Drosophila melanogaster: one gene and its partner. The protein of the gene in region 1 interacts with the protein of each later gene in a pairwise test. Each region holds a gene or a part of one and is shown in the gene's direction. Other genes may lie near its edges. The genes, in order: Pburs and c-cup.

Evidence for each region.
Region 2: the proteins of Pburs (region 1) and c-cup interact in a two-hybrid assay, tested with the Drosophila melanogaster proteins (one large-scale study listed by BioGRID).

The regions. Positions count from the first base shown.
Region 1 is NT_033779.5:14,413,820-14,421,482, reverse strand, and holds Pburs (partner of bursicon), read left to right. Parts: upstream 1-4,151; 5' UTR 4,152-4,164; coding exon 4,165-4,419; intron 4,420-4,477; coding exon 4,478-4,648; 3' UTR 4,649-4,754; downstream 4,755-7,663.
Region 2 is NT_033779.5:1,829,491-1,837,353, reverse strand, and holds c-cup (calcutta cup), read left to right. Parts: upstream 1-4,788; 5' UTR 4,789-4,899; coding exon 4,900-4,930; intron 4,931-4,987; coding exon 4,988-5,562; 3' UTR 5,563-5,727; downstream 5,728-7,863.

The DNA.
Region 1 (7,663 bases):
ACATCCAACCGCACACAGAAGTCGAGTCCAGTCCGTTCATATAACCAGTTCGAATCCAGCTGCGTCTCTCGACAGCCGGCACAGTGAGAGGTCCCTCGATTCCACTGAGTCGTGGTCGGACTTTTTGCCATGAAAATTGTTTATGGACATTTTTGTGTTGGCGCGGGGGTCAGTGGGTAGAGTGTTTCTGAATTTAACTGATTTTTAATGTGCGCGCCGAGACTGGTGGGCGTTGGCTAGATAGACAGAGGGAAACGGGCATAACTCTGGGTTCGACATATAACGCCATTCGGTATTAGCCAATTTGCGGCAGTTTATTGGTGGAAAACGGTTTGGCATGATTGGCTGCCGGTTTGCTTGCTGCCTGCAGTCTGCGCTGGCTACTGTTTAATAAACTCATTGATTTATGTCTAATTAAATTTGTTGGCCATATTAATTTATGCCAATTATCGCACATGCACATGCGCAATCAATTCAATTCCCCATTGGGTCAATGCTACATTTAAGCAACCAAATAAGCGCAGCAACTAAACGAATAGACGAACGGGTTGACCGTATATACTACATATATCAATGATTAATGATCAACAAATTGGGTTGACGGGTAAATGGAATTTTTTCTTTATTTCACCGGAGAAGCCTGACCATGAAAATTGAGAACCCGCAACGCCCCAAACTGTCAGTTATCCATCACGATTGATGGATGTGCTCGACGGTGGGGCAGTCTTTATTCCATTCCACGGCGAGAGAGTAGAAGCCACCATCCACTCATCGTCATTGTCCGTAACCATTATCCGCCACTCTAGCCCCGGGTACTCGACTCGACTCGACTATATATGAACATACATACATATACTCGCAACTCGTATCTCGTAAATCGTGCAAAATGATCCTCACTTCCCACCATATAGGCCCTCCCTTTGCGCCGATCGCCGGGGTGTTACCCACACATAGCCCAGCTGATTTGGCTGCCTTCGCTTATCCCGAATTGTAATCAAGTTAATAATAGGCTATGCGCACCTTAATGCTGATTAGGGGTTTTGTTTTAAAGCTTTGGATGGGGCAGGCAGATTGAATGTTCGGGCCTCATACGCACCATAATTATGCAGGGCAGTGTAGAGGTGGCTAACGGGCAAATCGTTGGAGCTGCTTACTTTCGCTTCACTATTTCTGCACTTGTAAAGTACTACTCCCAAATTGTTTATGTACAGGTAGTGAAAAACAGTTTTAAGTTATTTTCCTCGATTGAATTCCGATAGAAAATGAATGAATCCATTAGGAGCTAATTACTACAATATAACTGAGATTTCTGCTTAAGCTGCTTTGTTTTTCCCACTTTCCACCTTTTTTTTATATGACTAGCTTTATGTGGCTATCAAAATTAATTTCCAATATGATTGATACGTTTTGCAGGCACACAAAACCGCTTCCAAAGCAAAAATGACTTTGTCCAGCGGACAACTATAAATCATTGAGACAAAAATGTGAACACGCGGCACACATTAGTCAAAGAGGGCAAAGGCAGCCGAACCGAGCTGCTGGCCAAAAACGCATAAACATTTTACAGCGCAAACAATTAACTAAAAATAACATAAAAGAGTAGGCAGCACACGGCGAGACATGGGGCCAACTTGAAAATCTCGAAACTAAAAAAATGATTAATGAACGTCGCAATGGCCGTTTGGGAAAGTTACATAAATTAACACATGTCTTTACCATAATGAGTCAACAGCGATTTTGGCCAACTAAGAGCCACTTCAGACCGATTCACTCCCAGTCTCTAGTCATCAGACAGGCAGCCCCAAGGCTCCAAAGTCGGCTTAATTTAATTAATGTGTCTGCCCATAATCATTTTTCGAGTATGTTTCTACAGCTGGCGTTACGAGACACGGACAGTAAGTATTAATTCTAAATCAATTAGGCAAGGGCAAACCAATCAATTGGGGGAAATTAAAAAACTATTAGAAAAAATCCAGACATCGCATATATAAATGTTGCCAAGTATTTAACTATTTGAAAACCGCATTAGGCTTAGCATATAGCACTTTGAAGTTCTAATTCTATTATTTAATATATGAATATAATGGCGACACCCGCAAATCAGTCAAAATGCTGCATTTTTTACCACATATATTTGTTTTTCCTTGTCTGCGGACAACGAAATGAACGCACGGTGAACCAAAAAATAAGGGCAACTTTCTGGTCATGACAGGTTCCACAGGACTCGGCCAGACGGGGCACACACTCATAATTGTTGTATTTGTTGTTAACGGGAAACAAAAGGAGCAGCCGGTCCAAGTTCATTCAAATGGTTCGGTTGAGGGCCGAAACGCCACCGAATGCGGCAAAAAAAAATGTGTGGGGCTCATGTGGCCCCAGGACAAACAGTCAGGCACACCGAAGAGTATCCGTGTATCGGAAAGGAGGATGGGAGGATGGGAGGACGAGATGCCCAGGCAGACACTAATTCGATCTGATAATCATGGAGTTCTGCCAAAGGGCATGAATTGTAATTTCCTCTTTCGCGGAATTAACTGTCGGTCCCTGTCGCTTGGTCGGTTGGCTTTGTTGTTACGATGTTTTGCGATTTTTTTGTATTTATTTTTTTTTTAGCCTTTTCGAATCTGTTGAATTTGTTGTTTTTTCCTTTTGCACAAAGACACACGGGCTATCCATTGTTGGATGGTATTTATGTGTCATATTTATTCATTTAAAGCATTGCGCTTTTGTTTTACTGCTGCCGGTCGTGTGTCGCTTTGGATTTCATTCATGGACACGAAGCCTGCAGGATGTATTTTTTACCCTTGGTTATCCTTTGATGTCGGGACTTCTTAGGGAATGGCACTAATTTGAACATTGATCTGAGCTGCATTGGGGCAGCACCAATCTTTTAGGCTGGGCGGAACATACTAACTAATTTTTGTACACCATCATCCATTATTCAGCTTTTTAATAGGGAATTTGAATTAATTTTTATAATTAGAAGTATTTTCTTTTTAAGAATCACAATTGCAATATTGTCTAGAAATGTAAATAAGTCTTTATTTTTTTATAATTTTAATTGAAATCCTGAGTCAAACTTTGAGTTCCAGCATTGAGCGCAGCGGTTTTTCCGAGCAAACTACCATTTAGACTATTCGCAGACAGAAAAACAGGAAAAATAGGCAAAAATCCAGACAGTAAACCAAAAATTCAGAACAAAACTTTGCGCCATACGATAGATACACAAGCATGCATCCTTGTTTATGTATTCAAATACTCGTGTGTGTATACATATGTATATATGGAGAGACGGAACTGACTGAACAACAATTTCGCAAACGGAGGGTAAAAATAAAATCAGCATTTTTAGTAGTTAATTTAATTTATTGCAGCGTTTTTATGGTTGACTTTATTGCATAATAAAACATAATTTACTGCGCCATTGAGACTTTTTGCGTTTGCGTCGATGATTCTAAAGCGCAACCATCGACCATGGCCCACAGAGGAGTGAAGTGGAGAAAGGCGGTCGAGCCCACAGTGGGATTCAGATACAGATACAGCTACAGATACTGGGAGAGAGAATGTGGTTATTGCGAAATTGGGCGAGACAAAGACGATGCCAACAGGGGAGGGCCAACAGGGCCAAAAGCAGGCAATAACAGACACGAGAGGTGGAAAACTTCAGACAGATTGCAATTTCATTTTTTGTTTACGTGGCCGGAAAATTGCGGGAAAGCCCCTTGTATAGATTAAGGCTGAAAGTATTTGCCTCTTTATTGCTCACACCAATAAATTATTGTAATATAACCAATAGTATAAGCTAAGTGTAACGCAATCTGGCATTAAGTTATTAAATTTTCTGCAATCATTTTATATTTTTATTCCGTACTTATCGATTTGGTTTAACGTGTAAAAAATCGAATCGATACAGTCGACATCGTTACTTGTGGTCAAGTCGTTTGATTTAATTACCAATTAACGGAGCACAAAAGTGATGTGTAAATTGCCATGTCCTACCGCAACTTAAGCGACCGAATTTTCACCCGCTGGGCAGGACACAAACATTCCATCAGCCAGTCATTGACATATATCATGGAATCCAATCAGGTCCAGCCCTCTTCCGTATAAAAGAGCCTCCGGGTGAAGCGATTCCAAACAGTTGGGCGTTGGGAGTGGGTCAGCATGCATGTCCAGGAACTGCTCTTTGTGGCCGCGATCCTAGTGCCCCAATGCCTGAGGGCATTGCGATATAGCCAAGGCACTGGCGACGAGAACTGCGAGACTCTCAAGTCGGAGATCCACTTGATCAAGGAGGAGTTCGACGAGCTGGGCCGGATGCAGAGGACCTGCAATGCCGACGTCATCGTCAACAAATGCGAAGGATTGTGCAACAGTCAGGTGCAACCATCGGTGATAACGCCCACGGGGTTTCTGAAAGTAAGTTTGAATCCTGCCTCTATAGAGTTAGCGAACTCTAAGGTTCCATGTTTTCCAGGAGTGCTACTGCTGCCGCGAAAGCTTCCTCAAGGAAAAGGTCATCACTCTAACCCATTGCTATGACCCGGACGGCACCCGTTTGACCTCTCCGGAAATGGGAAGCATGGATATACGTCTTCGGGAGCCCACCGAGTGCAAGTGCTTCAAATGTGGCGATTTCACACGTTAATGCCTCAACATAAACTATGCTATTTGCATCCATTTGTTTTAGTTGCAGAGTGAAATATGTTTCATATATTTTCAAAACGAGCCCCACATTAAAAGTACCATTACTTAAAATCATGTATATTCTTAAATATTTCGAATTAATAAAGGAATAAGTGAAAGTCCCAGCTTTTTCAGTTAAATAAATACATATATCTTTAATGTCTATTCTAATATAACCATTAAATTAAATTAATACAAAATTAGTTTCTATATTGAACTTTCCACTTTTTCGCCCTTATTTAACTTATGCTTAAAATGGATCTTCGTGTGTGTTTGAATAACAACATTAGACTGATAGCTGCTCATGATTAAAGTGTCTGTTGTTTCATGCATTATTGTTTGCTACATTGATATGCAGTAAGCCAAAGGCTAACAAACATCTGTTTGATTGAAAATACAGTACACATTTCGCTGAGAGGCACTTGCTATACTCCATGAATGCATGAACTTTGATTTTCCCAAAAATATGCAATGCAATCCTGAATCGGAAAATGTTTGACATATCACTGGAGGCCAAAAATTGATTGCAACCAAAATGGAATACATCACTCGTCCTCTGACAGGCATTTGCAATGGCCAGGGAAATGGCAACGAGCATATTGACTTTTTGGCCCAGCCTGGCTACCAAATTAACTCATTTAGTCAGAGGGTCCGGCGCACTCGCAATTGCCATATTTATGTTGGCATCTGTGCGGCACATGATGCCTAACCACCCGGAAACTCGTCTCGCAAACATAATAATCAAGCATAAACTGCACTTAAGATGAAAACCGCTTTCTGGTTGTTAATTTTCATCATTATTTTCCCTATTCCTCCTGTTTTATTATATTTTATTTTAGACATGCGAGTACCCAGCTGAATTGATTAAAGCCACCAGAGATGGGGCAACATCGACTAATTGTAAATTGGAGCTTGGCTTGGAACGGAACACGCTCGGTTCGGGGCTACATTATAATTTCATGTTCACAAGCACATTTGCACGCACTGTAATTTACTTAAGCATTTTTCCACAGCTCCCCATATACTTACTACCCAGCTGAATGTGATCTCCACCGGTCGGTACTGAGTTGCCGCCTTTCGTTCGTGTGTGCGAAACTCATAATTTAGTTGACACGCCCATTAACATCGGACCGCAGTGATCTTCCAGAGCTGCTGAGCTCCATATACCCATCCAAGATTTGTCCAAGGGGGAACGGTGGATCAAGAGGGGGGTTCCTGGGTGGCATCGCGCGTCAGTGGCTCCATCAACAGCAACGTGCCGACACAATATAAATTATATATTTATATTTATAACATACATCGAGCAAGATTTCTCGGCAAATCTTGCATCCCGGATGGAGTCACGTAGAACCGGTGAGCGAAAAACTACCTGCGATCAGATGATCATTCAAAACTTTTAACATTTCATTAGGGTAATCAAATTAAACAGTCTATAAGCGAACGGGTTTCCACAACAACACAATTACTGGTCCATTGCAGGTGCTGAATAACTCATTTAGCTTCAATCGCGGATCACCTGGAAAGTGTGCATCGATTTGAGTCATTAACTTAAGAACGAGTGGGAAAGATACTTTGAACTAAAATGGGATATTAAAATTTCAAGATAAAAACAGGTTCCTGTACTGTGTGGTTTACTCAGAGGGCTCTTAAAAAGAAATTAAAACTTTTGGAAGACTTTGCGCAGATTATTAAAATCGATCGCTAAATACACCAATAAATTTCACTCACAGGCCACATTTATGAGCCAAATCGAACGCATGCATCGTGTTAAATAAATTGCTGCATATTTATAAGTTATAAATTAAGCGCTGGCCACGAAAGGCAGGCAAGTTGCTATATTCTTCCGAGTCACTTTGATGATAATTAATGAATGTTAATTAATAACAAATTTGAAGATCACAAAAAAGGGGGGACAAAAAAATATAAACATTTACTTGAATGCTACTTTATTGTTATTGTTGCTGCTGCTGCTGGTGGTGGTTATCGCTTATACAATATCTAACATACTTTTTGTGTTAAAACGCGTTAATATTGGCAATTAATTTTCATCATTTCGAATTCTTTATTTCTTCTCCATTCGCATTTGCATAAAAACGCAATTAATTTGATTGTTTGTCATTCGGTGAAATATATTTCTGTTTGTTTTTAATGAAAGCTCAAGGCGAAATGTAAACAACAAAGATTTTGTCGAACGGAAAAATGCTTTTAGTGTCAAGACACACTGCCGTATTAGCTCTCAGCCCTCAAACACAATCAGCCCACATTAATGGCCAAAAGACAAGAAGGCGTGACATCATTGATTGGCTTTATCTTCAAAGGTATTTCTGTTGCTTTTTTTTTTCAAAAATCTCTTTGTTTGCCTATGGTATTATACGTGTGGAAGCTAACAAGAAGATCGCTTCGCTTTCTGATTGAAATTTATGTTGTGTTTATTATAACTATAGTTTAGCCTAATGCCATTCGACATATCTGGACAATACCATATCGAATATTTTATGGATTTAGCTCAACTAATTAATAAGTCTGTGGAACACAAGAGAAGGAGTTGATTAGGTATTTTTTGCGTATATCGATTAAATTATTACTATAGGAAAATGTATTCTCATCTCGCCTTATTCGTAGCTTAAATTCTGTGTTGCAACATGTGCATCCATGCCATTAATAACAGCTAGCCTAAATCCTTAATTTTTCCTTCATTTAGAGTATTCAGGAAGCAGCATTGTGGCAGCTTCCGCCCAAAACTTCGCATATATCATATTTCAGTTAGAAGCGGCAGAAATTCAGAGTGCTGTGAGCTAGGGTGGACCAACTGCGAGGTGCAAGGGGTCACCTGTCAGAGAGCAAAAGCCCAGCGGAGCGCAAAGCGTTTTTGCATTTTGCATTAAATTTATGATTTTTACAGCTGACATTTGTTTTCGGGCGCCTTTTTCCTCCTTGCAGCAACTGTGTGACTCTGTGTTGCTCCGCCACCAGCCGC
Region 2 (7,863 bases), about 13 Mb from region 1:
CGGTGTTAGTTTTAATTTCAAATTATTTGTTTGGGTTCACCGCTTTTACTACGGCCTTGGCTCGTGGCTCTCTGTTTGCACTTTTCCGTTTTGTGTTTATTTTTTTTGTTAATTTCACTTTGTCGCTTTGTGTTTGTTTTTCATGAATTTTACTTTGTTTGTACTGTAAAGAATTTTGTGGCTAACTTCAATAGAATGTTATCTTTGGGGGCACAACTGCCACAGCTGCTCTTTTATTTGGCCAGCAGTTCCGCAAAGTTTTTCTAGGCCAGCAAAGGCTATTACTGAAATACTATGTTCGGCTGTGTTTTCCCTGATAAGCGAAAAAAAAAACTCTGGATTCAATTTATTTTTTTAAGTCAAATTTAGTAATGCACAAGGGAAATAAGTTGCTTCGAAAGGACAGATTTCAAAATATTTAAAAAAATATAAATTGCAAGCATTTTCAGATTTCAATGGAATAAATAAACCTTCAAAAGCTCCTAAACTATTGCAGTTGCATTCTCAAAGATGCTGTATATGCTGTGTGGCTACAGTTATTTGTACAATTCTTTTTAATAAATGTTTTACCAACTACATTTATTCTAAGCACTGTTTTGCTCCGAATCTCGCAAGCACTTGGCCAATTCGCTCTAAGCCCACAAGCGACATGAGCTCTTGAGCGAAATCCTGACGATTGGATGAGACCGCTGTGAACTCACTTTGGTTTGCAAACAATGTAAACACACTTCGACCGGGGAACTTTTGAGGTTCTGCGCGATACTCCGACTCCAAATCGCGACCAACCGTAACGCTTCAAAGTTACTCCGCTACTGGTCGCCAGGATGCTGGCCATGTTCAGATAAACGTCCTGGAGCTTTGCCATAAAATCCGTGAGATTCGAGAGTGGCTTGCTCTCCGCAGGACTCGATGCTCTCTACATGCGCACTCAGCATCCGAGAGGAATGTTTTGGGTTTTATTTGCAGGGAAGTTTCGGCGCCGTGAGGCGAAGTCTGTCGGAAATTACCCAAAACATTGGATGCGCCAACAGCTGGGCAACAGCTGATGACTTGAGGATGGTAAGGAGCCAAGGCAAAGCTTTCATAACTTGTGGAGCGTTCATCTCTATACATATGTGTTATCTGTATTTATTTTCCTTTTCGCCGGCTTCTGCGTCTGTTTGATGTTGCGGTTGCTTTGGTTTCCCCTTTATTATCATCATTATCGTCATCAGAGTGACGCACTCTTGGCTGCGAAATGCTTTTCATTATGCGCACTAATGTCTATGGCCTTTATGTCTAATGCGTGCATAAGGACCCACTCTTAAATCCCGACTTGGCCCTGTTTGCACTGCGGCATATGTACTTATATATACAGGGGCATGTCGGGGCACACATTATGCGGATTGGGCCGGTTTATTTGTATTTTTCTTGGCTGTGGATTATTTTTATCATCGCTTGTGCATGTAATTTATTATAATGATTTACACATTAAGTATCATTAAGCCGAGTGCTCGGCTGTTGTGTAAGGGCGTATAAATTGCAACTAATTGTTCACAACGCGGCGTATGCGTGATATATACGCAAAACTTAAATGAGGAGAGCGCAAATATTTACACGCACCCACACACCCGCACTCAGCACAGTTATTAATAATCCTGGCAGCGTTTGGGGAACTTAAGGCAAATTCTCATCGGCACCTTAATGAGCAACTTTTCCAGCGCCAGTGCCTGGGTGGTAGCGGGTGGAAAATGATTGCGGAAAAGCACCCAGCCCGCACGCAAAACTTTCGTACTCATCAATTCGAAACTAAGAGGAGAATTTCGCAGGCGTGCATGATATTTATGCCTTGGATTTTGGGTATTCCCCCTACTTTCCCTGGGAGGTTCATTAATTTTTCGCCAGCTCTTCGTTTGCAATTATACAAGAAAACTTTTCGCAGCCAGTTCGACAGCCAAGCCAACGGATTGACAGTGAGATATTGATTTAATGCATTGCCAGAACTCGTCGGATTTCTGTGTGCTTTTGATTTATTTGTTAGCCGCCTGGGTGAGCGGTAAAATCTGCCAAAAGTTTTGGCATAAAGTGTCAGTCTAAAAGGTAGAAAAACACTAGTAGAGCACTGAATTTTGCTTTCCCTTATGAGTACTAAAAAGTGCAGAGATTGCTTAAAAATGTTCATGTCATTTGATTATAATCCTGTAGCGCATTTTTGCCTGTGTAACCGCTTATAGTTCCACTTAAAACCATCTAAATGACAGTTGTTCCCCAGGCAACTTTGTCTGCTAAATGCTGGCATACATCCGATATTTCGCTATCAGCCACCGAACACACAGCCACACGAAAAGCATTAAAAATATGCCAGGCATAAAAAGTGTTCTACCATTCTGTAAATTTAGCACACAAAGTGGGAAAACTTTCGATTTTTGTGTGGGCCATGGTTGGGAGGTTATGAAAGATTGGCACCTCGTTTTATTGCCCTAGTTTTCCCAGCCCTTTTTATCTATATTTTACTATTTTTCTGCTTTTTTTTTTGTGGCTGGCGCCTCCTGCACCTTGACACTTTTGCAATTGTCGCATGGGAATATTTTTTCATTCGTTGTTATTCTTGCTCAATTTGTTTTTGTGTGCCCCCATTGTTTGGGCCCAGTTTTGTTGATTTTTATTCTCGTTATTCCCCTATTTTTCTGTACTTTTTCTATGCTTTTTCTGTACTTGTTCTGCACTTTTTATTTATGGTTAGTGCAGCAAAATATTTCAGCATCAGGCGTATAACCAAAGTGCCGAGTGTGAGGGCGGCATCGGGCCAAAAACTATGTGGGTGATTTTTATGGCTTTGCCTTGCCTCTCAGTTCAATGAATAAATCATTGGACGCCAAGGGGATTGGTTGGGACTTTGCAATATGGAGTGGGACTCTCTGGTAATGTTTGATAATATTTTATGGAAATATTTGTACTCGTTTTGGCTTTGAATAAATGTGTTGAGAGTCGTACATTTTAAAGAAGTTTGGTAATAATTGAATGTTTCAATACGACCGGAGCCAAATGAACAATTGTAAATGATTCAAGGAAACCCCTATTTAAGTTGTTTATGTCTGAACCCTTTATCGTTTCCCTCTTTTTCAAAGTCTATCCCATTAGCAGAAAATCCCAGAACCTTCGCAGGCCTGCAGCAAAGTAAACTAAGCAAATCTGCTGGCATTCTAATCCTTTTGAAATTTGCTTTAATTAACTCGAATAATAAGCAGCATCCGCATACTTTGTACTGCTCCTTCTGCCGGAGCCTTTTTATCCTGTTCGTGGGCTTATGAGCTTTGGCACTTTGTGGTTGAAATTTTGTGATTCCTTTTTTTTTTCTGGCATTCGGATTTCCGACATTTGCCAAAGCAAATTTCAGCGGAGCGGGACTAATAAGCCAAACAAGAGACAGTGGAAAGGGGGCGGGAGGAAAAGGGGCGCGGCTGGCAGACAAAGTTAATACGACACAGCTGCCCTCGCGGTTGGTGGGCAATTGAAAAGTTTATTAATAACCCGCAGAACGGCAGTGGCAGCCATACGAACTTTAAAGAGACTGCTGCTCTTTTTTATTTGTATGATTTTTATTTTTAATTAAAAGAAGGCAAGGCTGAGCGGTAGCGAGTGCGGTCCAAGGGATATGTAATTACATTTGAACAGCATGCGAAATATGTTTTAATTTATTAAATTAAAATAAGCGAAAAAGAGCTGGAATGAAGGAAAAATAACAAAAACACGACAACAGGCAAAGGAAGCAACCAGCCGCAAACCGAGTGCCCAAAGCAATTTGAACCAACGTCACACGCGGCGTATGCGTAATGTGCTCGCAACAAAATCAACGTTATGCAAATTTTAATGCGAGCATAAGGCGGAAACGAAACGGCGCTACGCTTGCCAGTTTCTCCTGAATCCTGTTACGAGAATCGCCAGGGTATTGCCAGGGCATGATGGTGCCACATATAGTAAGTCATTCAAGCTGACCACATGACAACACTTGGAAATGTCACTATAAGCATAATAAATAAATACTTAAAATATTGCCAACATTTCAGTGCACAGCGTAATTTATAAAGCAATAATGCCATATTTTATATAAACTACTATTGTGGGAGCTCAATTACCGTAAGAGCCACAACAAACCAATTTCAGCTTTCCGAGCAATTGAACAATCCGAGGGTATCGTTTAAATCCGACCCAAATCAGCGCAGGACTCCTTCGTCCTGGCAGTCGCCCTGCAGTTGTACTTGTATTTACATAAGCGTCCGTATGTATTTCTCCCAGAGCACTCGCCTGGCGCAAAATTACACTTTGTTGGCGAGACACACACACTCACATGCTCATACGCACACATCGTGGCGCAAAAAATTGTAATGAGCTTATTAAGTCATATTAAAGTCCAAGTACAGCCAATTTGATAAAAACAGCAACTGACAGCAGACTGGCAATGTTTTCATGCGACATTTTTTTACGATAGCATTTGGCATTAATGGTAATAGCAAATGGCGTAGACACACGCTGTAGCTATGTACGTTACACTCGAAGAAAATCAATATTTTAATGAGTAAGCAACCAAAAGGGTTGATGCACGTATAAATAGATGTTGAAGAAATATATAAATAATAACTTAATAACTTTGTCTTGCTAGAAATGAATAGTACTGAATTTCTTTAAGTGCATGTAATTTATATGACTGATGTAAATGAGCTCGGCAGCAGGTGGCTTAACATTTTTATTCGCTCCGCACTGCGGTAAATTGTTGTTAACTCGGCTTAATTGAGTATGATCAAATTGCCGCTGATTTTGCACTCGAATATATTTCGACTGAACTTTCAAAATTCATGAAATGCTGAGCACGAAAACAACTTAAACAGAGTCAATTATATAGTTTATGGAAAAGTCGTAAAAATGCCGATACTTGGACAAATGTTTCCTGCAAGTAAGTAATGTTATTAAGTAGTAGATAATTACGTAACGCACTCACTTCATCCTCTAGAGCTGGGTCCCAATTTGATGACAGCCTCCAAAGTGCTAAAAAGTCCTCTTGGCCAGGCGTTAGTCTCCTTTTTGGTTGGCTACTTTGTCACCACAAAGTTGTCGCAATTTTATGGCAAATTCAAGAGGGACTCTGAGAAATCCGATGAGTCGACGCAGTACTTGGACATGTACCCCAGGAAAGAGAGTCAGCCAAAGGACACCAAAGGACACGATATCGTTCTGCTCACTCTGGAGGAGCTAACTGCCTTCGATGGCTCGAGTCCCAGTCTACCCATTTACACCGCTCTGAATGGCCTCATATACGATCTGAGTCCGGGCCGAGAAAAGTTCAGCAGTCACGGTCCGTACTCCCTATTGGCCGGTTGCAATGCCAACAAGGTCCTGAACATTGCCTGCAGTTCCATGGGCGTCTGCGCTGCGAACGTAATAAGTCGCTGGGAGCAGAGCCTAAGAGCCGAATTTAAAGTCGTAGGATATTTAGTCGATGCTGATATAGATATTATTAGCGGTAGTCCAGTCAAACATACAAATTCGGCCATAGGGGAGCAAATGGAGAAGAGTGATATCGTTTAAGATGCTGTGAATATCCCGTTTTCTTAGCTTGGCAATAAAATATTATTCACAGAAACTAGTAATTTACTTCCAAGCTAACTGAAGGGGATATTCAGTGCAACCACGGACTAAAAATGCGTTTGGAAAAATTACATGTAACTTGTAGAATAAACAAAATTATTGAAGATATCTTTTAGCTTCATGAGCGAATATTTTCCAAAGGTTTTAGGTTGCCAAACAAATGATCGACTATTTCTTTTACAATCTCCTCCAGCCTGAGATTAAATTAATTCTGTCCTTCTTTTTTTTTGCCGTTTGACCGAGCTCTTGGCATTTGGAAAGCCGGAAAGTTTTTCCGCCTTTGTCTTGCGCTTTTTTCCCCAGCGGTTCGGTTCGACAGGAAAATATCGACAACGGCAAATGTCGATAACAACAAATTGTTTGTCGTGTTTTCCTTTTTACTTGGCACTTTTTGCCCATCAAGCTGTTGACTTTGTCAAGTTGTCGCCGAATTTTCAGGGCTTCGGGGTGATTCGGGTTTCCCATTGTGCCGGTGTATGTGTGTGGAAAAACTTTGCGCCAAACACGCAATTGACTTAAATTGAATTGAAAGCTGAATTCTGAGAGCTGAGAGCTGAAAGCCAAGAAGTGACAAAGCGGGCGGGAAAGCAGAAGGAATGCCGTCAGGTGCTACACAGCTAATAAAATCAAAATTACTTTTCGCCAGCGCAAAGTTTCGTCAGTCGACGTGCTTAAGGAATTTAAAAAAGTTGTCCAAAAATTGTTAAGCACACACTTCAAAATCAGTCAAATGTGCAAAAGGACAACACACACTCAAGAACAACATTTGGCAAAGTGTTATTTGAAGTGTCGAATTTAATCAAGCGCAAAGGTGACAAAAGGGCTCAAAAGTTAACAACAACTAGGGCCAACAATAACAAGTGGAAATGGTTCTTAAAAGGTGGCGAAATGGACGAGAGCAGTCCCCTGCAAAGATGGAAGGACAATGTCCTGGAGTGGCCCATTTGCATAAATTGTTCGCACTTGTTTCAGCTTTTTATTAGTGAAGCTTTATTTATACTTAGTGAAATCCGATTGCGATTGGGTAAGTAGTACTACAATAAAAAAAATCCATTATGCTAGTCCGACCAATTAAAGTTTTAAAATGCTGCTTTAATGGATCTTCCCCATTGGTGATAACAATAATACGGATTAAGGTAATCATTCATTCGCTTTTTAAATGACCCTTTTGAAATGAATTAACTGAATGGATTCTTTGTCATGTTGGCAATTCATTATATGTAGCTCCTTAAAATAAATTTCCCGTTAGCCACGCCCCGAAACTTGGCCAGTTATGGTATCCCATATAATTGGTGCCAAACACTGAATTTATCACCATCTGGTTGTCATGTGCAAACGATGCTCTAACCCCCACTTTGCCGGGAATTTGGATGGGGAGACCTCCCTCCAGTGTCATTCGTTCATTTTAATGTTTTACGTGACCCATTCGAAATCGAATCGAATAACTCATTAAATGCAGAACGCGCCAAAACAGGTGGTAGGGCTAAAATCGGGGGGAAAGGTGGCCATAAGAGATGTGTTCTAGGTGTAAGGCAATTAACCATAAGAGCTTATGTCGTGGAACGTGCCTAATTGCTGGATGAAAACACTAGACGAATCTGGATTTCGGTGTTTGCGCAGGGAAATGCAAATGGCTGTGTGAGTGCGGCAAACAATTAGTTTTCCAATTTCGAAACTAAAATGTTGGCAAACAACACAAATTAAATTCACTCAGTTGCATTCCGACTTTTCGAAGTCTGGCCAAAAGTTTACTTTGCTCTTTGCCATTCGCTGCTTGCAGGAGTTAATTTAATTAGTTTTCATTTATCTAAAGTACACGCTTCATTACATAATTTAACAATTCATTAGATTGAGCCCGGCTTCGTGGTAATTGAAAAGCGCGTCACGCTCTAGCCCCCAGATTTTCCAACGCCTCGATTCGCCACGCCCCCTCCGCAAGGCATGCACATCAGAGACCGCCCCTCATTTCGCAGTCTGGTTTTTATGTTCACTTTGTTATTATTGCCGCCAGACAATTGCTAATGGTCGCTGTAATTATCATTAAATGGTTCGCTTTCTTTTAATTCTTCACCCATTTCTGCTTCCACCTACCAATCTCGGCACTTTTATCCTTTTTCCCGGGAAGTGGGAACAATGGCTGCGGCCCAACAGCTGCTGGCTACATTTCAATGTGTTTGTGAAGGGATTAAGCTGCACTTGGCTCCTTAATTTGATTGCATTCGAGAGTGATTTGCCATTCAT